Saccharomyces cerevisiae S288C: one gene and its partners. The gene in region 1 interacts genetically with each later gene. Each region holds a gene or a part of one and is shown on either strand. Other genes may lie near its edges.

Region 1 (5,714 bases):
ACCAGGATTATCACCGATCAGATCTACTAGCTTTTCTTTTACAACGTCGAATTTTTCGCTCGTTACACATAATATTCTTTTGTTAACTTTCACTAACTTCAATTCATTTAGACCTAAATGCTCGAATCTTTCGCATGCTTCTCTCATTTCCATGGGAGATATCAGGCCTGTACCTATACGCATAGATTTGTTGTACATTGCATATAGATCTACCAGAGTTATGATCATATAGTTGGTATCACTGTTCAAATCTTTAAACTCGGACAACGTGAACTCGTAAATTTCTCTCGCAATCTCATCCAAGAACAGCTCTTTATTTAGGAACTTCTCTCTATCAAGTATCAATAGCGGTCTTCTCGTTTTCGGTTCATTCACGGTTGATTCATCCTGTAAGTTCAATGTCTTGGTTTTCATCGTTATGTTGCTATTTTTGTATAGTCTTTCGATGCTGGTAGCCAGCGACATTAGCTTGTTTAGGTCGGTCAACGCATTGTTAAAGAGAATGTCATTGTTCAAAAGCTGGTTTTCTCTAGATTTTTCCAAGCTTGATATGCCAATTCTGCTCAATTTAGTCTCAATAAATGGCACCTCATTGTTGTATTCGTGAGAACTAGCCCCTTTCCTCATGTCTACACCATTTACAGAAACCACATTCTGATTGAAAATATGCTTATTCTTTTCAGTGAGTATATTCTCCAAAGCCCTCTCTGTAGCTTGTGAAAACAATACGCCATCAGATTTGCGGAAACTCAATTGCACGAATTCTGTCGATGATCCTGTCGAGGACGAGGACGATAATGCCGAGTGCGAGCTCTTGTTTCTAGCCAGTGAATTTTTTTCTAGCTCAATATGGACCCTAGAATCATGAAAGTTTAGCCTGTTCAGCTTTGATCGTACTTTGGATGCATTAGGCAATCTGTGGCCGCAAATCTCGCAATTTCCTATTTGAGGATGATTAGCAAAAGTACAGGCGGGGCAAATGTTCTCAGAGTTCACTCCGAACTGATTCTGTGGGTTGGCGTTCGGGTCGATTGCATTAGAACAATTTATAGACGACTTGGTGAGCTCATAGTCCGCTGGCACACCGCAATTGATACAAATGGGTGTAGGTAGAGTGTCTTTAGTGAATTCCCCCTGCGTTTCGTTCGAAACCATACAGATGGGGCAGACCCACGTCGAAACAACGTCGGCACTTGCTGTTTCCGCACTTTTACCAAGTTCATCCTTACTGGAGGGGTCCTTGAAAAACAGGATCAGACGAGGTGATCTGGTCAAGAAGCCAGATGAATAGTTTACATACGCTAGATCGTCCAATTCCAACCCAAGCGAGTTCTGAGTGGGCTTTGCATCGTCGATGTAGATAATTCTTTGTGACGTTAAAAAGATTCTGCCCCTCTGTCGCTGTAGAATCTTAGATTTGCCATGGTAAAGACCTACGGACTGATCGATAAAGATATCTTTTTCACCTTCTCGAAGAAGAGGTTGGCCCGATGACGTAGTTTCCACATAATGCCAGTACTCCATCTTTTGAAAAAAAAAGAATGACTTTCAAAACACACTTCCTGATTCCTAGCCGAGGTCCCCTATTCTATCTTGGATGACCTTTTCTCTGCTTTTTTGTTTTTCAGTCTCCATCTTTTCCAGATGAAACATGTGAAACCCTTTTTCCTCTTCGTTGATCCTAAAAAAAGCGCGTCTGGAAAACAAGGCGAAGCTTCCTCACATGGAAAAGGCTTCTTAATATGTCGCTACGCCTCATTCCCATTGCATACAGAAAGCAAAGTAGTGCGTTTTGCGAACGTCACAGATCAAAAGTTTGGCCATGCATTGTCATTCTTTTTTTCTTACATACACTGCACCAGACATGTCGGTTCCGCCCCGCTAACGGTTAGTCAGCCACACATTGACGTACACTGTGAACAGCCTATTTCTTTCCATGTATCTCAGTGCCCAGCTTATGAGAACTGTCACAGCCTCCCACTTGACCCTCAGAGCCCTCTCCACTCCCCCCCTCTTTCAACATCGCCAGATAGCCGCCGTTGAATGGTGCGGGACAACCCGGCCTGGCCTGGCCAGGCAAAAAAGGACGCAGCACGCCTCGAGCGTTATTTCCAAATCGGGCGTACTATCAGCCAAGCCCAGCTCGGTATTTTTAGCGCTTCTCGCAGGAAAATTGGCTGAGAAGTATATATACGCGAGAATGTTGCTCTTCCATGTCTCAGTAGTCAATGAGTGTCCAGTGGTGTTTCATTCTGGACCAGTTGTTTGGAAGTAGAACTAAAAGAAACTAGATCAAGATCATACAACGCTGCGCAGTAGTGAAACTTGATTAAAGCAATAGAGAACTATTAAGAAAAAAACAAACACATCATCGAAGGACGCTATAAGCATGAGGAATTTTTTCACGTTATTTTTTGCAGCTATATTTTCGCTAGGAGCACTTATATTAGCCATTGTTGCATGCGCAGGATCAACGAAAAATTACAGTCCCATAAATAAAATTTACTGTGCAGAATTGGATCTGTCGCAGATGAAGGTATCGACGGTGCTCCCTTCTTTGAGTTCTGCTACGCTATCTTCGTTGGGCCTGCCCTCATATATAAATATAGGGCTTTGGTCGTACTGTACAGTGGACTCCTCGCATAACATCCAATCATGTTCTTCGCCTCACGGTATCCAGAATTTTAACCTATCGTCATTAGTGTATGACAATATCAACAACAATGAGGCTCTGGAGCTTATGGATTCCGTGGCCAGTGTTGTTTTGCCCGAAAAACTAAAAAGTAAAATGACATACTACAACAATTTGGTCAAGTGTATGTTCATTACCATTCTTATTGGTATTGTCTTGACCTTTGTGAATCTAGTGTTCAACGTATTGCGCTGGATCATCCACATAAGGCCGCTAACGTGGTTTGGTGCCTTTTTTTCATTTTTCGCCTTTGCCGCCCTATTAGTCAGTATAGGTTCGTGTTTGGGCACTTACTCATACATCAAATACATCCTAAAGCATAACTATAGTGATTACGGTATTTCAATGAGCATTGGTAGGAACTACCAGGGTTTGATGTGGGGGGCTGTCGTTGGAGCATTACTGAATTTCATTCTATGGTGTAGCGTGAGATCGAGGCCCACCGTCATCTATGCGAACGCTCCAATTGAGGAAAAACCATTGATTTGAATTTGAAAAAGGCAAGGTTATTAATTAATTTTTGTGTTCCGTTTCATATTAAATATGATTAAAATATATTGTCTATATACAATTCAGAAAATTATAATGAAGAAAATTAAAAGGATGGAGAATTGAAAAAATTTACGGGGTGATGTTGCATGATCTTCTTTTTATTATTTTACCTTGCAAAGTTTTTTTCAGCATCAATGGGGCTTTCGTGTTCTTCAATGATTCTTGAGGTAGTAGAGTCACTTTCTTGAACAGCTTTCTCAGCTTCCACGATGGCAGCTCCCTTTCTGCTGCTCCACCAGCAGTATGCAATGCAGAGAAATACAAGGACGGCAAATACAAATCCAGACCACATTAGGCCATAAAATGGAGAAGAGCCAGAAATAATGACATCGTAATTGTCCTTCTTGGAGCCGGATTTCATCATATTAAGGATGACGCTAAAGATTGTGCTTCCCAACCCGCTGAAAATACATATCCAACAGGAAATAAAGCCCAATGCCAACCATAATTTTTGACTCACCACGGAACGTCTACTTAGTAGCAACAAGAATACCATTAAGAAGAAGGATGTGATTATGCACATTAAGTTCATAGCTAAAGCTGCTTTCACTGCTGGGACATACATGTGTTGTCTGTCTTGTAATTCACCATCTAAATGCAAATCGTCCTTACCGATGTTCAGGGCATCCATATAAGGTTTAAAGTCCGAGCCTTCAATGTTGTTGTAAACAATCGACCGGAAATCCATGTTTTGAACAGCGTGTGACTTGCTACACGAGTACATTGTTCTGTTTAAGTGAGCACGACACATTGTGAAAATGGACAAACGGTATATGACAGGGATGTGTAGATATTCAAGGATAGAAGGAGTCATTTCCTTGAGTTGTTCTGGTGTGATAGTTGTCATGTTTACAGCAGAGTTTAAAATTTTCAACATGGGCATAAATGTAGCGGCATTAGTTTCTGCCCATTTGGTGATATTAACCAGAGAAGAGAAACTTGACACGGGGTCGCTTGACGCAGCTAATAGGCTGAACAAGTATGGAACGTACTTAAGTAATACGGTGTTATTGGCCAATTGGGATTCCAAAGTAGGGATTATGGAAACAACTGTGGATGCGTTAGCACTTGCAGAAAGGATTTCATCAAGTGCCACCAATTGGTTAGTAGAGGAAGCGGCTTCTTTAGAGAGGGCCAAACTTTCGACAGATGTTAGCAGCTCTGTTTGGTTTGTAGTGTAATTCAACAAGTCAGTCAAAGCACCCATGGCAGCTTTAGCGGAAGATGATTGGGTAATGTTTTCGGCAATCATAGTGCTCAATACGGATAATGTTACATTTTGAGATGTAGTTTCATCAAACAGAGTAACAACAGCTTGGACAGCTGGTTTTAAACTCGAAGGAACGAGGGAGCCTAATTGCATAATAGTTTCAGTAGCATTGCCACCTTCCGCAAGACTGGTTTTTAGACTAGAAAACAATGAGGAGACCGTTGAAGTTGGAATGGTAGAGTTCATTATGGTTTCTAACGCATCGCATGTGGCAGTAATGTTCTTGGAACTTGCGAATAACTCGAATACAGGCGACAATTTTGTCTTTTCTTCTGTGGTCATATTATTTAAAGTGATCAAAGACTCAGTAGTGCCTATAGGATTGGTCGAATCCACTAATAGGGTTAGAACAGTATTTTCTAAGGAAGCCGAAGTAGAAGAAGTGTTGGTTGACATAGATGACATCAATGTGCTAAACCCATCCAAGAGTTCGGTTGTGTTTTTAGAGGTAGTCAATAACTCATCAAGAGCGGAGAAGGTCGTGGTAGTAGCGGTATTGGTTCCTAGCAAAGCCATTGGAGCCAACTGTGTCAAAGATGATAATGTGGCTGAAGTGTTAGCAGCATTAGACAACAAGTGCAGTAAAGGAGACAAGGCTTCGGTAGAAGCGATTGCCTTAAGAGCGCCGAAGATGGTATCCACCGTTGTATTTGGAGCGGTTAGAGCAGAACCTAACACAGTCAAAATTGGGCCAACTTGTGGCATAACTTTTGTAACGTTGATTTTTGATATATCAGCATCACCGATATAAATGTTCGTTATTGGCTTATAATTTGAGGTAGAACCCGCAGTTGCAATAATGGTCAACAGAAATGTTGTAAGTGTCAATAAAGCACAAATCGGGAGGAGTATTTTAAAATTCATCGCAATAATTTGACTGTATTACTGAATTTTTATTTTACTGTATCAGCATCGCATCTACAAGCTATTATGAAGTAAATGAAAATCTCAAGGCTTAATGTGAGTAAATGCAGCTAGATTGTCAAAGGTTTATATATTTTGTCGTTCTTTTTACAGGAAAAAAAAATTCTGTGTAGAAGTGTAAGATCTATGATTGCAGCAGCTTGAAAAGCGATAAGTTTGTTGAGGATTTAACAATTTCAACTTTTTTTTTAAGCAGAACAATAGATTGACGTAGTTAAATTTGTCTACTAAGATCTGTAGGCAAGTTTTTTTTTTCCAGGGACGACGCCGTATAGA
Region 2 (7,232 bases), on another chromosome or scaffold:
CTACCGTTACCAGGTTCAATAGCCTCTGCAGCAACAGGCAGTCCTTTTTCTCCATCACCCGTTGGTGAGTCTCCCTATAGCAAACGCTTTAAACTAGACGATAAACCAACTCCGTCTCAGACGGCTCTTGATTCCTTACTTACAAAATCCATTTCAAGCCCTAGATTACCCCTTTCGACGTTGGCTAACACAGCTGTCACGGAATCTTTTCGCTCACCTCAGCAGTTTCAGCATTCTCCAGATTTTGTAGTTGGTGGTAGCTCAAGTTCAACAACGGAAAATAACTCTAAGAAGGTAAATGAAGATTCTCCATCATCTTCTTCAAAACTAGCTGAACGACCTCGTCTTCCAAACAACGACTCCACTACTAGCATGCCTGAAAGTCCCACCGAGGTAGCTGGTGATGATGTTGATAGGGAGAAACCGCCAGAGTCAAGTAAGTCGGAGCCCAATGATAACAGCCCAGAATCGAAAGATCCTGAGAAAAATGGTAAAAACAGTAATCCGCTTGGTACGGATGCTGACAAACCAGTACCAATTTCTAATATTCATAATTCTACTGAGGCTGCAAATTCAAGTGGTACAGTGACAAAGACAGCTCCATCATTTCCGCAGAGTTCTTCTAAGTTTGAAATTATAAATAAAAAGGATACGAAGGCGGGGCCAAACGAGGCAATCAAATACAAGCTGTCCAGAGAAAATAAAACAATATGGGACCTATATGCGGAGTGGTATATTGGTCTGAACGGTAAATCTTCAATAAAAAAATTGATTGAAAATTATGGCTGGCGAAGGTGGAAGGTTAGCGAAGATTCACATTTTTTTCCTACTAGAAGAATTATTATGGATTATATTGAAACGGAATGTGATCGTGGCATAAAACTCGGCAGGTTTACTAATCCTCAACAACCGAGGGAGGATATACGGAAGATTTTAGTAGGGGACCTAGAAAAGTTCAGGATAAATAACGGTCTGACTCTGAATTCTCTATCATTGTACTTTAGAAATTTAACGAAAAATAACAAGGAAATTTGTATTTTTGAAAACTTTAAAAATTGGAACGTTAGATCAATGACAGAAGAAGAGAAATTAAAGTATTGCAAAAGGCGACATAATACACCATCTTAAGTTTATTGAGGTTGTCCGCGACAATAGTTCCTTCAACAAAATAACGAAGCGACGATAACGAGAAATGTCATTAGGTTATTACTACCTTTATAGAAAATATATATACTTATTTAATATTTATATAGATTTATGTGTGTACATACCTATGCGGATGTATGCCTATGTGGGAATTCCTAAATGTCTTTCCATCAACGACTAAATATATATTCTCATGACTGACTATATGGGTTACGAAAACTTAATTTTTTTGTCAAAGACCCTGGCGAATTGAGAAAACCCGCTGGATAGATGGGCTATCCGAAATTTTGAAAGATGGAAAAAACATTAATCTCATTAGCAAAAGAGGTAAGACCCTGGGTGAAGAAAAGTCCGAGGAGGGAACACAAAAAAGTCTAGGATAATGGCACATGAAAAGTTTAGTATACCTGAGAACTTCACATTAGCGCAGTCTTTGCAATTGCTTTACTCTGTTGTCAAAAATCAATATAAAAACCTAGCAGACCTAATAATCAATAGCAAAGGTAATAAGGACACAGTAACGTATGGGAAAATCCACAAAAACTTAGACACTTTACTGGTATACGTCAATGAAGGTCTACGAAAAATTGAAAAGACTTATACCTTAAAGAAAGGGTTAGGAAATCTTGTAGTTGATCATCCTGAATTGAGGAGCATCATTGAGGATTTCCAAATTCTTGGCCAGGATATAAGGATCGCACGTCGTAAAGCAGAAACGCTTATGGCCGAAGGAAACGGTAGTCCCTCTTTGTCATCCTCCTCTTCCGTTTTGGGCCTTGGGACAGGAAATGGTTTGCGTTTTCCAAAACTTTGGAGAATGGGTTCCAAAAGAGATAAATTGAAAGAAGCTGACGAAAAGGAGGCTAAAATCAACAAACAGGCTGATAATATCAGACGTGCTAGGAAATTAGAAGAAGAGAAAAAGTTAGGAGCAAAACTTCAGTATGAGAGGGACTTAGAACTTCAAAGGGAAAAATTGATCGAGTTAAAGGTTAAAGAAAAGGTCGAATTTGAAGTGGCCCAAAAGTTGGAGGAGGAGAGAGTTAAGAGAGAGGAAGAAGAACGCAAACATAGAGAACAAGCGGAGAAAAAACGTATATCAACCCTGAAACATGAGAGGAAAACAAATTACAAATCAAGGGCTAGCCTCGACAACTTCTCTTCCAGTAGCAAATCTTCTGGAAAGATTGACAACTCCCTAATTAAAAGAAGATCACTTGACGTTGTACGGACTTCAGGCGAAAGAGTACGAACGCCAGTAAGAAAATCAATGGAGGCAGCAGAAATAGGTATGGCTGCGCAGTTAGCCTGGTCTCAGTATCAAAACGGGGCAAATCATTCAAAAGTGAGTAACAACGGATCGCATTCAAATGAACTTCAGATACGTTATAAGCCAACACCACCTTTGAAAAAAAGGTATGACTACAAAAAGCCAACAGTTAATCGACCGATTATAAAATCACCTACTCTTAACAGGCAAAACAGCAAGTCTTCACGGAATATACCCACAAATAGCAAGCTGAAGGCTAGTAAATCCAATACTAACAAAGTTTCTCGTAGGAATGAGCAAAATTTGGAGCCTAGTTCACCAGTACTCGTTTCAGCGACAGCGGTACCTGCTGAATCCAAACCCATGCGTTCTAAAAGTGGTACACCCGATAAGGAAAGCTCTGCTAGTTCATCCCTCGATTCCAGAAAGGAGGATATATTAAAATCAGTGCAGGGAGTAGATCGAAACGCTTGTGAACAGATACTTAATGAAATTCTTGTTACGGATGAAAAAGTTTATTGGGAGGATATCGCAGGCTTACGGAATGCGAAGAATTCTTTGAAAGAAGCAGTGGTTTACCCATTTCTGCGGCCTGACTTATTCAAAGGGCTAAGAGAACCTGTTAGAGGTATGCTTTTGTTCGGCCCACCAGGTACAGGTAAGACAATGATTGCTAAGGCGGTTGCGACAGAGTCCAATTCCACATTTTTTAGTGTAAGTGCATCTTCTTTGCTATCGAAATACCTCGGTGAATCTGAGAAGCTGGTTAGAGCATTGTTTTACATGGCCAAAAAATTGTCACCCTCAATTATTTTCATAGATGAGATTGACTCTATGTTAACAGCTCGCTCTGATAATGAAAATGAGTCCTCGAGGAGAATTAAAACAGAACTTCTTATTCAGTGGTCCTCCCTATCTAGTGCTACTGCACAATCGGAAGACCGAAATAATACGCTTGACAGCAGAGTACTTGTCTTAGGAGCAACGAATTTGCCATGGGCGATTGATGATGCAGCAAGAAGACGATTTTCACGGAAACTATACATTCCTTTACCAGATTATGAAACTAGACTATATCATTTGAAGAGATTAATGGCCAAGCAGAAAAATAGCCTGCAAGATTTAGACTATGAATTAATAACAGAAATGACCGAGGGGTTTTCTGGTTCTGATCTTACGTCATTAGCCAAAGAAGCGGCAATGGAACCTATTAGAGATTTAGGAGATAAGTTGATGTTTGCGGATTTTGATAAAATCAGAGGAATTGAAATAAAAGATTTTCAGAATGCTCTGTTGACAATAAAAAAGAGCGTGTCGTCAGAATCTCTACAAAAATATGAGGAGTGGTCTAGTAAATTCGGTAGTAATGGTTCCTGAACGAGAGGGAGCGTCTTAATGGCAAAGAAAGGTATGAGAAGGAATTTTCCCCTTTCAACTTCTTGCTTCTGATCTAATTTTATTACCTATGTACTTTCTATGTATTATCAAAGAAAAACTAACTTCGGTTCCCTTATGATTTGATATTTTTCTTTCTTATTTACAATTAGTTTTCTCAGAACGATATTCAATACAGTTCTCCGGATTTTTGCTTACTATATTGGCCCCAAAAAAATGAAATAAAAAAAGAAAACAAAATAATATACTTGGGTGAAATAAAAAAAATAAATCAATAGCACCCAGTTAACCTAGATTCAAAGTTTCTTCTTCAATCTCAATTTATATACACGTTTGAGTTAATGGGAAAGCAAAGTCCAGCTATAAAACACTTGACCGTTAGCGCCATACCCTCCAACAACTAATTGGACCTTCTCCTTCTGCCCAAACAGTATATGCAAGGTACAGCAGTTACTACAAGCACAATATGTCTTGGATAAAAAATGTAACAGAATCTCCGACTTCACTGATTAAAAAAGTTTCATGTGGTTTGATAATTGCTGCTTCTCTATATGCCATTGCACCCAGCCTAAGTGCGCTAGTCTTTGGGGATTCTAAGCAGAGTATTGGGAAGTACACGACAGTGGGCTTAATTAATCGTGGGAATGATTGCTTCATAACATCATCTTTGCAAGGCCTGGCTGGAATACCTCGATTTGTAGAATATTTGAAACGGATAAGAACGGTCCTTCTAGAATTAGAAACTAAGCTGTCAAATAATGCAAAAGGCGACAATCCTACAGTTGATAACACTACAAGGCATAGTCGACTTGAAAACTCGTCTAATTCACTTGCCCCCTTACACGAAAGTCTTACCAGTTTAATTTTGGATTTGATATCTGTAAAAGATCGTAAGACGTCAATTTCTCCGAAAATAGTGATAAACACATTAGAGTCCATCTTTAAATCAAAGATCTCATCCAAACAAAATGATGCACATGAATTTACATTAATATTACTACAAACATTACAGGAAGAACGATCAAAATTGATCGATTACAGTAAACAGATATGTAATTTGAATATACCAAAGTTTCCATTTGAGGGCGAGACTTCCAAGTTTCTAGTATGCCTTAAATGCAAGGGTCTATCAGAACCATCATACAAACAGACTTTCATCCGCGAACTGTCCGTACCACAACAAACATCAGAGAATCTATCCAATATTCTAGCACACGATGAAACAGAAATCATAGACGACTATTCATGCCTGATCTGCCAAATAAGAGCAATCTTAAACCATGAAGAATATAGAAATTTCAAGGACTGTACCCCGGATGAAATTTTAATGTTGGACAGATTGAAAAATTATGCCACTAAAGCCCCAATTAACGAAAATTTACCATTCGAAGTAGAACAGTACGTCAAGCGTTACTCAAAGGGCAATTTGCAGGTATCTAATATAAAGGGAAAGGTCATCAAAAAAGATGTAGTAGTACAACTGCCAGACATATTAATTGTTCACTTATCGAGATCCACATTCAATGGTATTACATATTCTAGAAATCCCTGCAATGTCAAATTTGGAGAAAGAATAACACTTTCTGAATATACATTGGCTGAGAGTGGGACAATAACAGAAAACAGGCAAGTCAAATATAATTTGAAAAGTGTTGTGAAACACACCGGTTCTCATTCGAGTGGACACTATATGTGTTACAGACGCAAGACTGAAATTCGTTTCGGGAAGGAGGATGAATCTTCCTTCAGAAGAGCACCAGTTGTCAACAATGAAGTTAACAAGAATCGCGAGCAAAACGTTGCACATAATGATTACAAAAAAAGCAGATATAAAAAAGTCAAAAACGCCCTGCGGTATCCTTATTGGCAAATATCTGATACCGCCATAAAGGAATCTACCGCTTCAACTGTCTTGAATGAACAGAAATATGCTTATATGCTATACTACGAACGTGTAAATAAATAACCGCCCTGTACATAGGTATATTATAATAATAGTAAGTTACGCATCCATATCCACATCAGTATCCACTGCCATCATTTCAACATCGGTATCAGCCTCTCCATCATAAGTGTATTTCGAAGTCATTTGATTATGGAACCACTTCCACCAGCTTAGATAAGCAATTTCCTTATAATCTACCCATTTTATTATTTGTAGCCTTTTTTCTCTCAAACGTTCCCATATTTTGTCATAAAACAAGTCATTGTCGCCGCGTTTACTTGTGGAACACTTGATGATCTCTTTCAGGACCTTATCATCAATAGCGTCTGTGAATACTATATTGTTATGAATAAGATTGTTATCATCTGCATGTCCGTTCTTGGGCCCTTTATCATTTAAGGATAAATTCTCTAAATCTATAATTAGTCTTTTTCTTTTATAATTATCAATTCCTATTGGGTCTGGAGAATGATTTCTTTTCCTAATGTGGTTGGGATTGCCATTACTTCTTGCAAACCGGGAACTCATGGAATGAAAAAGTCATTTAAACGTGCCACTAGTTTTACTATCTGCTAATCGTTCTAGACGTGTAATATAAATCATATCCGAGCGCCGTTGTTGAATAATTTAATGCCTTCGTATTACATACATTTTGAAATTTGCTTTCGTAAAAGAGCGGTTCCCGGATAAAAAAGTGTGCAAATAACCGAGCCTTATTTGATTTCCAGTAAAGACCCAACCAAACGCATCATTGAAGCAAAAATAGATTAAAACTTACTGTTGTTCGTCTATTGAATTTTGTTCGGATTGGTGTGGTGTTTAATATCTTGGGCAGAAAGAGAATTGGCTTTATAGACACTCATAAAATCATCATTCCCCTTAGAGCAAAAGGTATTTTTAGAAGCCAAGAAGAAGAGCAGATAAAAAAGAAGTACGCCCTCTAACAATAAAAGTCAAATGGCTAGACAATTATTCACTCCTCCGATAACCAATCCAAGGTTTGACCCTAATCAATCCATCAGGGAATCATACAAGAACACAACTGGCGGCATGCAATTTCAACAAAATCTACATGAGGATCAAAATGACAATGAGAGAAGTAGCTGTGATGGTGATGAAAACTCTACAACAGGAGAAAGGCTAGAAAACAATAAGTCTCCTATATTGACAAAACAAGAAATTGACGAAGCGTTGAACACTGTCACCAATTTACCTCCAGAATTATCAAAATTAATTGACATTTTTATTGATGACCTAAAGCAGCCAAAGTACGTACGGCCACTATCAGTACTGCAATTGTCTAGTCTTTTCCAAAGCTTTTACATAAAATTTGATAAAGCATCATTCCAGCACGTCAGTTCAGCGAATAATAATGGCTATTATTTTTCTGGCGGGGGCTCTAGTTCATTCTTGGCTGCCAAAGAAACGTTAAGTAGTGGTCTTAGCGGAATTTTTGGCAGAAGTAGGAGTAGTAGT
Region 3 (6,907 bases), on another chromosome or scaffold:
GAGTTTTCTTTCCGAGGAAGCTCATAAATACAGGTATTGGAGAAATGATACCGGAATCCTCAATGTTTTCCTAAATTATATTAGATTCCAAGCTCGTGAACCAAGGCTGGCCTACAATGTTCTTCTGGATTTTTATTCTCAACCTTTCGCCAAAAAAGTGGTTTTAACTACCACGCTATGTCCCTTTTCCATAGTAGCCTATAAAAATCATACATTAACGCAGGCTGAACTATCAGAATTGCTACAGGTGATGCATAAAAATGGGGTGCCTTTAACGTTTAAATTTTGTTCTGCAATGGTAATGCATTATGTCAAAATGAGAGACGAAAAAGGAGCACGCTCCTGGTACAATAAGATACTCTTCGGGGGCTTTGAAATCAGGCATATGGCTTTGATACAGATAATAAAAGACCAAGGCTGGCCGTTTCCCAAAAACTTTGACGAAACTTTACTGACGGAATTGGTGGAAAATAATAACATTAAAGAACCTACTGATAGCACCCTGTTTACTGACGAAGATATGTTCGAAGAAGATGGCAAGCCTAGATTTAATGATGATGATGTTAATAAATGTACAAATATTATAAGAGAGACGTTGAAAAGTCTAAATTAATATCCAGATGAGCACTAGTAAATAGTAAATATTCATTCATAGATAGTAATTTACCCATAAGTTATTAATACCTACAAAGTTTTTTCATAAGTTTATGAATATGTCTTCTTGGCCCATGGTTACTTTATTACCTCTAATACCTTATTTACTTTCTCAAATAAATGAGCCCTTGGATTTCATTTACTGAGAATAAAAAAAAGTACCGTGCTCGGCAAAAATGCTCCAGGGGAGGTTCGAACTCTCGACCTTCAGATTATGAGACTGACGCTCTTCCTACTGAGCTACTGAAGCTTTGTTTTGTACAGACGTTACATCTCAGAATGGGATACGTCAGCATGACAATACATTATCCTGAACGTTCATAGAACACATATGAAACCTAAGAAAACGAACAGATTGAGCAACATGAGGTAAAACTCCGCCTTCTATAGCTGGGCTATCTAAACGTATAAATGCCTGAACAATTGGTTTATGAGAAATGGGTGTATTTTGAGAGACTTGTTGGGATTCCATTGTTGATAAAGGCTATAATATTAGGTGTACAGAATATACTAGAAGTTCTCCTCGATGATATTGGAATCCTCTAAATGGAATCTATATTTCTACATACTAATATTACGATTATTCCTCATTCCGTTTTATATGTTTCATTATCCTATTACATTATCAATCCTTGCACTTCAGCTTCCTCTAACTTCGATGACAGCTTCTCATAACTTATGTCATCATCTTAACACCGTATATGATAATATATTGATAGTACAACTATTAGTTGATAGACGATAGTGGATTCTTATTCCAACAGTTTAGATCCAAGGTTCCGCGCTTCCACCATTTAGTATGATCCATATTTTATATAATATATAGGATAAGTAACATTCCGTGAATTAATCTGATAAACCGTTTTGACAACTGGTTACTTCCCTAAGACTGTTTATATTAGGATTGTCGAGACACTCCGGTATTACTTGAGCCCGTAGTACAGCGCAGGCCTCCAGAGTTGAATTATTCTAAATTCCTGAATAATAACAATTTTGCAGACAAAATTCAGGCAATAACTCAAAAGAGTAATCTTTCACTGCATTTAAGGCGCTAAGATTCCCGCCAAAAGTAGTCGTCACAAAAGAACGTATATAAAATGCACTTTCGAGCGGTGACAATGTGAGAAATAGGTAAATATTGAGACAATTGTTGGGATTACCCTGTTTCTCATCTTTTATGTCATCTTTTTACACCGTATATGATAATATGCTAGTCGATAGATGGTGGTCGATTCTTCTTCCTGTATACAAATATATGAGTTGGGGATGTATATTGCAAAGAGCTTGATTATGACACATTGCCAGACCAAAAAACAAATCTCTTTCTATAATGTTCCCAGGTGGGCTAATTTTTTAAATAACGACGGCAGTATATTGATATTGGAGAGAGTTGTATTTATTGTTCGATATTTATTTTGATATCAGCTTTATATTGTAAGTGTTCAATATTTTAATTAGTGTGTATTTTGTAACTTTACTGCCAATTATCAACATAATTACAAAATTGTTATAAAAATTGATGCACTAGTGTTTCGGTTCTTGCTCTTTTAACCAACCGAGCCTAAAAAAGAGGCTCTTGAAAGTAATTTAACCCAAACAATGAGATCTTCATTCTTTTTTTTTTTACCTCAGCTATGACTTGCAGTGCTTTGTATCATACCGCTCGTTTGGTCGTGCTATTTGCAACAATGAACCTCGTTACCCCGAACAAAAAAAAATGAGATATTGAACGCCGCAGCTCATCATGGTAGAATGATGCAGCTAATACCAAAATAAGTTATATTTAGAATGTTGGACATATCAGTTGCATTAGACTAATCGTTCTAGAAGGATACAGAACTTGGAAAGATCTTTGAACGTATCGTAACTGCGTGCTTGCTTTATTTGCCGTTGATTTTTGCTATGACATGCCTAATTTTATGGTATCTGTGGCTCATATCAACTTTTCAGTTAGAGTTTGCAACGGCTAGTACTGCAAATACAACAACTACAGCAAAGTCTGGAACCTCTTCGTCAACGGAGGAGCCGTTTCCTGTACTAGCCGTGGGTAAAGATGGTAGAGGAAACTACTATGTTAATAGCACATTTGGCACTCCCGGTCAACGCCAACGTTTGCTAGTGGATATTATCCAACCGTACATAAATCTGGTTTCCGGAACAAGCGAAAGTCATAACGAATACTCCGGTGTATATCATAAGCATCCCAGCTACCTCATGAATGACTCTACATCATCTGTTCCTGTTTCTCCTGGCCAAATATATGAGATTTCTTTCATTGATGGTAGAGCTGTTAACTGTACTTTGGTGACAGACGATATGAATTTTACAAATGTTTCCTCAGAAAATTCCTCGACCGCTTTGATAACCGATTTAATGGTAACTCGAGATAACGTACAATTTAACTCGGGGAGCCTATCCATTTCAAACGTTTCCTTCTTTGATATTCAGTCCTCGAACTTTAAGACTTCAGGCTTGTTAGGTTTAAGCGGGAAGGTCACAAACCCAGGCAATGCTATCGATAGCTCACAATACACAGAACAGTCTTATTTTCTATCCTTATTGAAAGATGCAGATATCATTGAAAGTTCGTCATATTCACTGTGGTTGGCTGGAGACACTTCCACGTACAAAACATATAGAGATCCAATATCTAATTGTGGGAAGCTACTTCTTGGAGGGGTGGATCCTTCGCTGTTTACCGGTACACTGGGAAAATTTGACTTAATTCCTTACGTTGACCCAGTGAGTAATGCTGTTAGTGTTGGGTACCCAATTGTGCCATTAGGCCCTATTTATATTGTGTCTAACAGCGGACAAAGTTTGAATATGACTTCGAAGGACTTTCTGAGCCCAGCCTTACTTGATTCAACTTCTTCGGTCAGTTACCTGCCAACTAGTACCATTATTCAGATTGCCGTTCAAATTGCGGCCACTTATGTGGAATCACTAGATAGGTGGCTAGTCCAATGTTCTATAGCAGATATGGGTGTCTCCTTGGGTTTCAGGCTTCGAGAATTGACAATTGAAATACCCCTACGTGATTTATTATCATCTACTTACGATACATCCACCAATTCTTCAATGTTTTTCAGTTCTGGACAGGAAGCTTGTTTTCTAACACTATACGCTAATACAAATACTGGAGTAAACATACTCGGAGAAGCCTTCATAAAAAATATATATATGGCAATGGACTTAGAGGATAACACTATAGCCATTGCACAGGCAAAGAAGGTTGAAGATGACGCAGTTACTGAAGAGACAAATGAAACTACCGCGTCCACTATCATCAAGAAGATCAAATCTGGTTACATTCCTTACGCAAAAGTGATGAATAGTAGTAATACAAGAAACTTGACTCTTTATCCATCCTATAGGTCAGGCTATATGTTCACTGTCCCAGGTCAACTGACAGCAGCATACTCAAACGGTGTGATTACAGGTGCGGGCCGGTCATTCTATGATACTTCAAGAGCAAGCACAAGTGCTAGACCATCCAGTACTCAATTCGACAGCTTTTCTGTGTCAGCCTCAGAAGAGTGGTCAAATTCAACTAATAGAACCAGCAGTGCTTCGGGAGCAGGCGTTCGATTGAGCAGTCCTTATACATTTAACAAAGATCCAGCTGGACATGTAACTCGTATAGCTTCCTTGCTACTACTTTCGATATTCTCGATACTTATTGTTCTTTGAATGGTTTTAACAAAAGTTCATAACATAAAACCTTTTTCTCCTTGACCAATGCACGTATAACATCATTATATAGCAGATTTAATAACAACATACTTAAAAGTATATATGCGTCATTCTTATCCAGTTGTGTAGAAGCTAGTACTTGTGATCAACCATTGGCAGCCATCTCAAAGAATCGTCGTGCACGGAGCGTAAATCGCGTTACTTTTTTTTTTGTTTTTTTTCCCGCCTCGAGGTTGGTTCAACAGCAGATCATGGTGACTGGCGATAGGTTATTCACTAGAAAATGAAGATACTCTTTCTTGGGAGGTAACTCTGTAAAATTTCTAATTTGTATTTTATAGTGTGTAGAATCCGAAATATATCCGATCTACCTCGCTCTTTTTATTGTTATTTTTATTCGAGGAATTTAAGTGTTTTGCAGACCTATCCCTTCGAACACGTAACGTCATTTTACCATAATCTTCGACTGCTTAATTGTTGATACATTGTAGGTTCCATTACACTTTGCCAGCATTTTCCATTTTTAGAAAAATTGATACATATACGCAAGATTTAGCATGGAGAATAGAAACAGTAGTACCTCTAGTAGGCCATTTTCTGTTAATAACCCGTTTAGAAATGCCACAGTTGATTCAAGTATTAATCAGTATAAAAATGACTCCCAGTTTCAGGAGTGGGCGAAAAACCAATCTCGTACCAATTCATTTGATATGCCACAATTGAACACAAGAACTTCTTCACAATTATCATTCCCAAACATTCCAGAGGATGAACCCCAGCGAAACGCAGATCAGCAGGGTGCTTTTTATTCTGGTTTGGAGAGCTTTAGTAGTGGTAGTTTATCACCACCTTCGAGACCTCTTTCCTCAAAGAATCCTTTCCTAGACGATGTGAGTTCTGCAACCGATTTTAGAAGGTCTCCCCCACCTGTTTCAAGGAATAAAAATCATCCCACTGCTAAAGAAGAAAAAGAACAATTAAGGCAAAGATATTTGGAGGAAAGTGACGTAAGTACAGTAGGTAACACAAGAGAAAACACTGACCTACCACCCTCATACGAAGAGATCACTTCAACCAATGGATCAAGGCGTGCATATCCAAAGGAAAAGGTTTCTCGTCCTTCTTCTCACCGCGAACATAGCAACAGCGGCACATATATTTCACGCAGATCTTCATCCCACCATCACCGTGAAGCTTCCTCATCTTCAACGCCTTCTAAGAAGGGAAAGAGAAAAAGTAAGGTTATTGTTCCTAAGAACGTCGATACTATCGATAAGTTAGATGTAACTGGATTGTTCGGTGGCTCATTTCATCATGACGGCCCATTCGATGCAGTAACACCTCATAGAAATAAAAATAACAAAGCTGCGCCTGTTTTAGCATTTCCGGTCGATGGTCCAAACAGTACCATCGGTGGCGCTTCAACCAAGAAGTCTGCCCTGGATGAGGTTTTTGGGAGAGATGATACAGATGATTCTGATATATACCAGTACAGTTCGCAGACTCTAAGGAGAGGTGGTGATACGCAGGACGCAATAAAAGCAAACGTGGGTAACGTCCAACAAATGGATGCCAAAAATAAGACAGAATTGGTTCATGGGCCAGTTACTGCGGGATTAGGTTCTAGTACGTTTTTAGATGGGGCGCCGGCCTCCTCAGCTGCCATTAGAAACGACATAAAAGCCCATTCCTATCATAATCGTAACGGTGGTTTACAAAGAAATAAGTCACTTTCTCAACGATTAGGTCTCGGAGGATCCGGTGATAGCAATGCCCCCATGACAGGCGTTAGAAGAAACTTGAGTTTAAGTAGAGACAACTATGATGTTGGTCACAGCAATGAAGGTGTTAGAAGGTCGAAAACCGTTAATTCTCCTAACAGAACGCATAAGTCCAATTATACTACTGATTTCGACGGCCAAGATGATCACAATGAAGATGAGGAAGACGTTTATTTGGGTGTGCGCTACAATGAGCCCAATATGAAAAAGAAATCGACGGGCAGCAAATTACTGAGCAGAGTAAAAAGTCTAAAGGTCGGCAGGAAAAGTCAGTAAAGTGAGCTTAAAAGAGAGAAAAGAAGCTATGAGACACCAAAGCCAGGCAAATAAAAGGGAGAGATACGAATAAAAATAATTTAAGACCACGTTATATACACATTACGAATAGTTTGACTTTATATATTTACAGAGACTACCAACTTATATCAAAAGGAAAAAATTCCCATTACCAGTTTCATTCATAACGTGTTGAATGCTTGGATCTTAGTACGTTGAGGTAACCTTGACTCTACAATTTTCCATTCTATAGAGTCCCATACCCTTTCTAAATATTCTCGTTTCCCAAATACGCCATAATCAGTTAACCATGTTTTTGGTGACGCATCAATGGCTAAAAGCGGGATATATGAAACCTCTTTCCCAGAAAAACCTTTCTGTTGGGTTTCATAAATAAATTTTGTCTTGGCTTGCTTGGCAGTCATCTCAGAATCTTCAAGATTACCGGCTTCTTTGGCTCGTTGTTTTTCCATGTTGGTATATTGGTTATTGAGCTCATT
Region 4 (5,523 bases), on another chromosome or scaffold:
TAGAACTTTAACACAATTTCTAACAAGGACTGTCAAGGTTAATATGAATGAGTTGCAGGTACCAGAGAATTTTGAGGTTTCGCACAAACCGACAGTTGAGAAACCAGTCTTTTATACGTATACCAGAGAAAATTTGGAAAAGGCTGAAAAATTTACAGACATATTAGAATTCGATAATCTTTTCACTGCCCCATCGATGGGCCTGCCGGACGGGTTAACATATTATAGAAAGGCCAGTTCGATAAATAGATTGCCTAATATCAAAATCCCAACTTTAATAATCAACGCAACGGATGATCCAGTTACAGGTGAAAACGTAATTCCGTACAAACAAGCTAGAGAAAATCCTTGTGTGTTGTTATGCGAGACTGACTTGGGTGGACATTTGGCTTATCTCGACAATGAAAGTAATTCCTGGTTAACAAAGCAAGCTGCCGAGTTCTTGGGCAGCTTTGATGAGTTAGTTTTATAAATATGTTCTTAGATAAAATTCCTTACACATAATAATCTGTTCTTTTATTTCTCTATTTACCATCCTCCCCACGCTGTGCTTTCCAATCCGCCGATCCACTTTCTCTACCACGATTAGATGATTTCGAAGCGGCACTGACGCTTTCGGATTTCGTTTCTTGTGTCTTTCCTCTAATCAGCTCTATCTGTTCCTGCTCATCGCGACATGCAAGTTGGTATATCTCGTCATCATTTAACGAATACCTCAACCTCTTCGTTATAAATTGACAAAGGAATTTTAAATCTTCTTCCTTGATTTGATCTCTGGGCAGCTCGTTTTGGAGGATATAGCGTTTACTAACGTCAACAACGCCATCTTTACCGAACGCAATACAGTAACTCATTTTCTTGTTCCAGTTAATTGAATAGATATATGGTTGGTCGAATGATTGCTCACAGGAGTCGACATGAACCCACCTATTCAAAAAATTTGAAAAATATTCACACCAAACATGATCTTCTCTATTCCAGACGTAGCGAACATCTAACCCAAACGACTTCAAAATCAAAGTAAATAAATTGCACCATTCACCGCATCTTCCCTTTCTAGTTTCCAGCAACTTAATTGGATCGTTATAACGAGGAAATCTAGTGATATTTCCGCATCGGTTGCATTTATAGATCTCAACAGTTCCGCAATTGAATTTAGATTCCTCTCCATTGGGCCCTTGACTGCCCAGAGGTGTCATATTTTCTGAAGTGTTCTGGCCACAATGATTACAATCTGGTTTATTGCACCATTTGAAAAAATCTTGTTTGAAGTAGCGAAGCAGCTCCTTTACTAGATAATCCGTGTATATATTTTCCCCCTCTGCATGCCCATCTTTGGCAAATTCCTTATCAACATTTTTATATATTAGATCCAGATCCAATGTCTCCAGGACTATAGAATGCCATGAAGGATTGTCATAGACTGTACAGAGATGTTGACTCTGACCTAGGACTCCTTGTGCGAATTGATTTGTATGGACTAAATTCTGAAACCTTATATTCTCTACAGGTGCAGCTTTCTTGAATTTAGACAGTATGAAATCCTTATACTTAATTAACAACATTTTGGCTATTGAATCAAAATCTATGTTATTTTTTTCGTATACCTCTCCCATTGCTACTCCACCTGTTACCTTCTTCAGGTTGTTTTACGTCTTCTATATCTGTTCCCAACGCATCCTTTTTTCTTCGCTACAATACAAGGAAGATTACACTACGCAAAGTTTCGAAAACATCAAGAAGCATAGAACAGTTGAAACTAGGCAACAGGACTGTTTCAATTACATGATTGAGAATTTATAAGCGCATGAGACCACGTGACCAAGGCTTTTTGGTTTTAGGGTTTACTTACTCGGTACTCCTAATTAGTCTTGCTACATTTTACTGGTTACGCAACAATGACTCTTTCCTGCACTACTGGTGTGTATTACTGCTATGCCCTGCGACTCTCTGGCTGTGGGCCCTCATAGCCTGGTGTGACAGTGAAATGTTCGCAAGTAGTAAAGATGAATAATCGTTTATAATCTTATTTACAAGTCAGTGCATAAAATGATATAATATCACCTCACGCATGCCTATTTTATACATGTACTTTATATACCTCCCTTTTTTTTAACGCATTTCTATTATAAAACACTTCTGCTTTCCTATCCTCAAGATCAGTACTCGATCATCTATCAGGAAAGGAGCCAAGTTAGAAATATTTTCGTTTACTTTAGATTTTGAATGATGCAGATACACGCTTCCCTGGGAAAGTTTTCTTCTGGCTTCTGATACTGAACAATTTACTAGTTTACAAATTAACTTTATTAAGTCAATCTCTCTATCAGCATACTGCAAAATTCTGGCTTTTTTACATAGATCAACTAACTTCGCAGCAGATAAAGTTCCGTCATAACGTCCAAAAATAATATTAGAAAGCGCTTCTGAATCCGATCCGGAGCCAACTCCATATAACATATCTGTGACTTCTTTAGCCAATAAAGTTTGGCCATAACGTAGACTGGGTGATTTGATATGCGTTTCCACAATTTTTTTGATTTCACTTGAGTTTAAAAACGTAAAGATCTTCAAGAACTTGGGTACATCAGCATCCAAAGTATTATAAAAGAACTGGTAAACATCATACGCCGTATTGATTGAGGGGTCAATAAAAACAGCATTGCCTGCACTTTTCCCAAATTTCTCTCCTGTAGCCGTCGTCAACAAGGGCACAGTGATACCAAATGGCAAACCCTTATTCTTTATAGGCTGTATCCTATTGATGAGATCGATACCGGCTGTTATATTTCCCCATTGGTCGTTACCACCTACTTGTATAGTCACATTCTCTTCCTTATACAAATGGTAAAAATCGTACGCTTGTAAAACTTGGTAAGTAAATTCGTTAAATCCCAGACCATTTTTGGTTTGAAGCCTCGAAGAAATTGAATCCCTCGCCAACATAGATTGTACCCGAATGTGCCTACCAAAATCAGCTAAGAAATCCAACATTTTGATGTCTTTCCACCAGTTGAAATTATTCCTTGGTGTATATTTTCCGGAAGGTACATCTTCAGTGAGAGCACATCGGTTTCTGTAATATTCTAGGCCATTTTTGAAAAACCTTTGTAATTGCTGCGAGATGGATGCCACATTGCTTTGCCTAATATCGTTCTCCATAACGTCTCTTTCTGTTTTCCTACCACTTGGGTCCCCAACTTTCCCTGTAGCTCCACCTATCACAGTGACAATGTCGTGACCTTTTACGTAAAAGTGTAATAAAACCATTAGTGGAACTAGATTTCCCAAATGAAGTGACTGAGCTGTGGGATCCACCCCGCAGTATAATTTGATCTTATCGTTACCGTTCAACTTCGTCCGAAGGAAACTCTCTGGCTGTGAGACCTGGGACACTAGACCCCTTTGTTTGAGTTCGTCTAAAATATTATCGCTTCGAGAATCCGATGTGCCCTGTACTTCTAAAGCACTAGGCTGTGAATAAAATCGAGATTTAGGCAATGTTATTGCACTTAGTCCGGAATAAGTCACCAGAGGCACAAGTCTCCTACTACTATTGACCAAATTACTACAACTTCGTAATTCGAGCATGATTCACAATGTCTACCTGTAGATTGCTGTGTTCAATCGGAAACTGGAAATTCTTTCTTAACATTATGAGCCAACCACTTTTTATTTTCTTTTCAAAACTCCCGAACAAGACCAACATTACCAAACAGACTCCACTACTTTTCCATAAGAAGGAAGCACAGAACACCACACAAGATCATATAGCACAAATAGCGCAACAGCTTCAAGTCCAATATTAAGATATAATGCCTCCTCTTCCACAAAATTATGCGCAACAGCAGCCTTCGAATTGGGACAAATTCAAAATGGGGTTGATGATGGGTACTACCGTCGGTGTCTGCACAGGCATCCTATTTGGTGGATTTGCCATCGCAACTCAAGGCCCAGGTCCTGATGGTGTAGTTAGAACACTAGGGAAATACATTGCTGGTTCAGCGGGTACCTTTGGGCTATTTATGTCCATCGGGTCTATAATCAGAAGTGATAGTGAAAGTAGTCCAATGTCCCATCCTAACCTGAACCTACAGCAACAGGCAAGACTGGAAATGTGGAAGCTTCGTGCCAAATACGGTATACGTAAGGACTGAGGGGGAAATTTTGCATATATTTACGCTTCCCCATCGTTTTCTTAAACATTGTTACTTATCTGCTTATTTTTATTTAAGATATCTATCTACCTGTTTATAACTCTCTCAATACCATGTATTTAAGTTCATCACGACGAGGCTTATTTACTTAATATATTTGTATACGTGGGAAATGTCTAATATGTATACCGGTTTGCATCTTATTTTGGGTGGGGTCACTAACGGCAAGACTCATAAAATAAAGTATTCGCTAAGCACTCTGTTATATTTGTAAACTTTGAGAAAGGAAATGGGAACCAAAGCATATAATAGACAATATGTTAAAAAGACGCTCTAATGCTCTCATTACTTTGAGTAGAACTAAATTGTTTCCCATAACAACCGTTGCCTATTACCACAGGCGCCTCCTCAACCAACAACGAAGAGCTGTTTCAACGTCACCGAAGAAAGAAATCAAGAGCCTAGAAGACTTGGCTAATTTGGATTCTTTGGATGGTGTTGATACTGAACTGATACGCGATTTGATTAATGAGCATACTACAAAATTAAATATCAAAAAGGAGTTAGATATGCTCAAAAAATTCTCGCAAGAGGAAGAATCAGGACATGAGATCCCTGTAAAAAGATTTATTAGGCCTCTTTGGATGTTCATTCTAATGGGATCTTCCGTTTATTTACTGCTTCACTTCTCTTGGTGGAAACTAGAGCATGAGGAGAGAGAAAGTCAGCTAAAGAAAGAGGTAGAAATCCTGGAACACCAATTAAATGAGTTAATTGTACAGGATAAAACCCACAATACTAGTAGGGGAAAGGGCAGTAATGAATCAACACATATGAAGCCTTGGTATAGGAGATGGTTTTGGTGAGAATTAGTTATCTTGTTGGCTTTTCGTGTTTCTAGAATGTACCATTGCCTATGTAAATATTTTCAAATTGCTTGTTTTGAAGATTTCTACCCTCTTTAGCAATTCACACGTGAATACGTACAATATCTATTAAGATTATGAAAACTGCACATATGCATTATGTAAATTTATTATTTTTAGTCAGCACACATTCACCAGGTTTTGACGGAATACTATATATACTGAAGGTTCCATCATCAGAGGCAATATAGACTTGGTTGGGAAATTCGTCTGGAAACCCTAAGCAACTCCTGTTCGATTCATTAACTGTTATATAAGCAAAGTTACGGCTCAGGTTCTGGTTTGGTATTGAAGATTTTATTTTTTTCGAGAAGTAATTCGCAATTCTTGGTTTCGAGAGAGGTATTTCCTTTGGAGTTCCCATACTGGGATTTGAATTTGATGCTAGTATATATTCCTCTTCATTCCAGTGGCCATTGCTAGAATTATCTCCAGGGAGG

What was found.
Region 2: mutations in YLR415C (region 1) and YTA6 together harm fitness more than expected from each alone (negative genetic interaction), as found in Saccharomyces cerevisiae (one large-scale study listed by BioGRID).
Region 3: mutations in YLR415C (region 1) and PAL1 together harm fitness more than expected from each alone (negative genetic interaction), as found in Saccharomyces cerevisiae (one large-scale study listed by BioGRID).
Region 4: mutations in YLR415C (region 1) and INA17 together harm fitness more than expected from each alone (negative genetic interaction), as found in Saccharomyces cerevisiae (one large-scale study listed by BioGRID).

Annotation. Positions count from the first base shown.
Region 1 is NC_001144.5:950,820-956,533, reverse strand, and holds YLR415C (uncharacterized protein), read left to right. Parts: upstream 1-1,936; coding exon 1,937-2,275; downstream 2,276-5,714. Other genes in the region: ESCRT-II subunit protein VPS36, read right to left, coding at 1-1,524; PUN1 (Pun1p), read left to right, coding at 2,390-3,181; INA1 (Ina1p), read right to left, coding at 3,351-5,378.
Region 2 is NC_001148.4:414,235-421,466, forward strand, and holds YTA6 (putative AAA family ATPase YTA6), read left to right. Parts: upstream 1-1,528; coding exon 1,529-3,793; downstream 3,794-7,232. Other genes in the region: transcription regulator GCR1, read left to right, coding at 1-1,128; putative ubiquitin-specific protease UBP16, read left to right, coding at 4,278-5,777; YPL071C (uncharacterized protein), read right to left, coding at 5,814-6,284; guanine nucleotide exchange factor MUK1, read left to right, coding at 6,714-7,232.
Region 3 is NC_001136.10:1,169,826-1,176,732, reverse strand, and holds PAL1 (Pal1p), read left to right. Parts: upstream 1-4,907; coding exon 4,908-6,407; downstream 6,408-6,907. Other genes in the region: ATP22 (Atp22p), read left to right, coding at 1-613; YPS7 (putative aspartic endopeptidase), read left to right, coding at 2,557-4,347; mitochondrial 37S ribosomal protein mS43 MRP1, read right to left, coding at 6,590-6,907. UniProt on the Saccharomyces cerevisiae protein: Involved in the early step of endocytosis.
Region 4 is NC_001148.4:363,020-368,542, reverse strand, and holds INA17 (Ina17p), read left to right. Parts: upstream 1-4,474; coding exon 4,475-5,023; downstream 5,024-5,523. Other genes in the region: EEB1 (medium-chain fatty acid ethyl ester synthase/esterase), read left to right, coding at 1-472; PNG1 (peptide-N4-(N-acetyl-beta-glucosaminyl)asparagine amidase), read right to left, coding at 525-1,616; ERI1 (Eri1p), read left to right, coding at 1,808-2,014; tyrosine--tRNA ligase MSY1, read right to left, coding at 2,113-3,591; MGR2 (Mgr2p), read left to right, coding at 3,816-4,157; ATG21 (Atg21p), read right to left, coding at 5,181-5,523. UniProt on the Saccharomyces cerevisiae protein: Component of the INA complex (INAC) that promotes the biogenesis of mitochondrial F(1)F(0)-ATP synthase. INAC facilitates the assembly of the peripheral stalk and promotes the assembly of the catalytic F(1)-domain with the membrane-embedded F(0)-domain.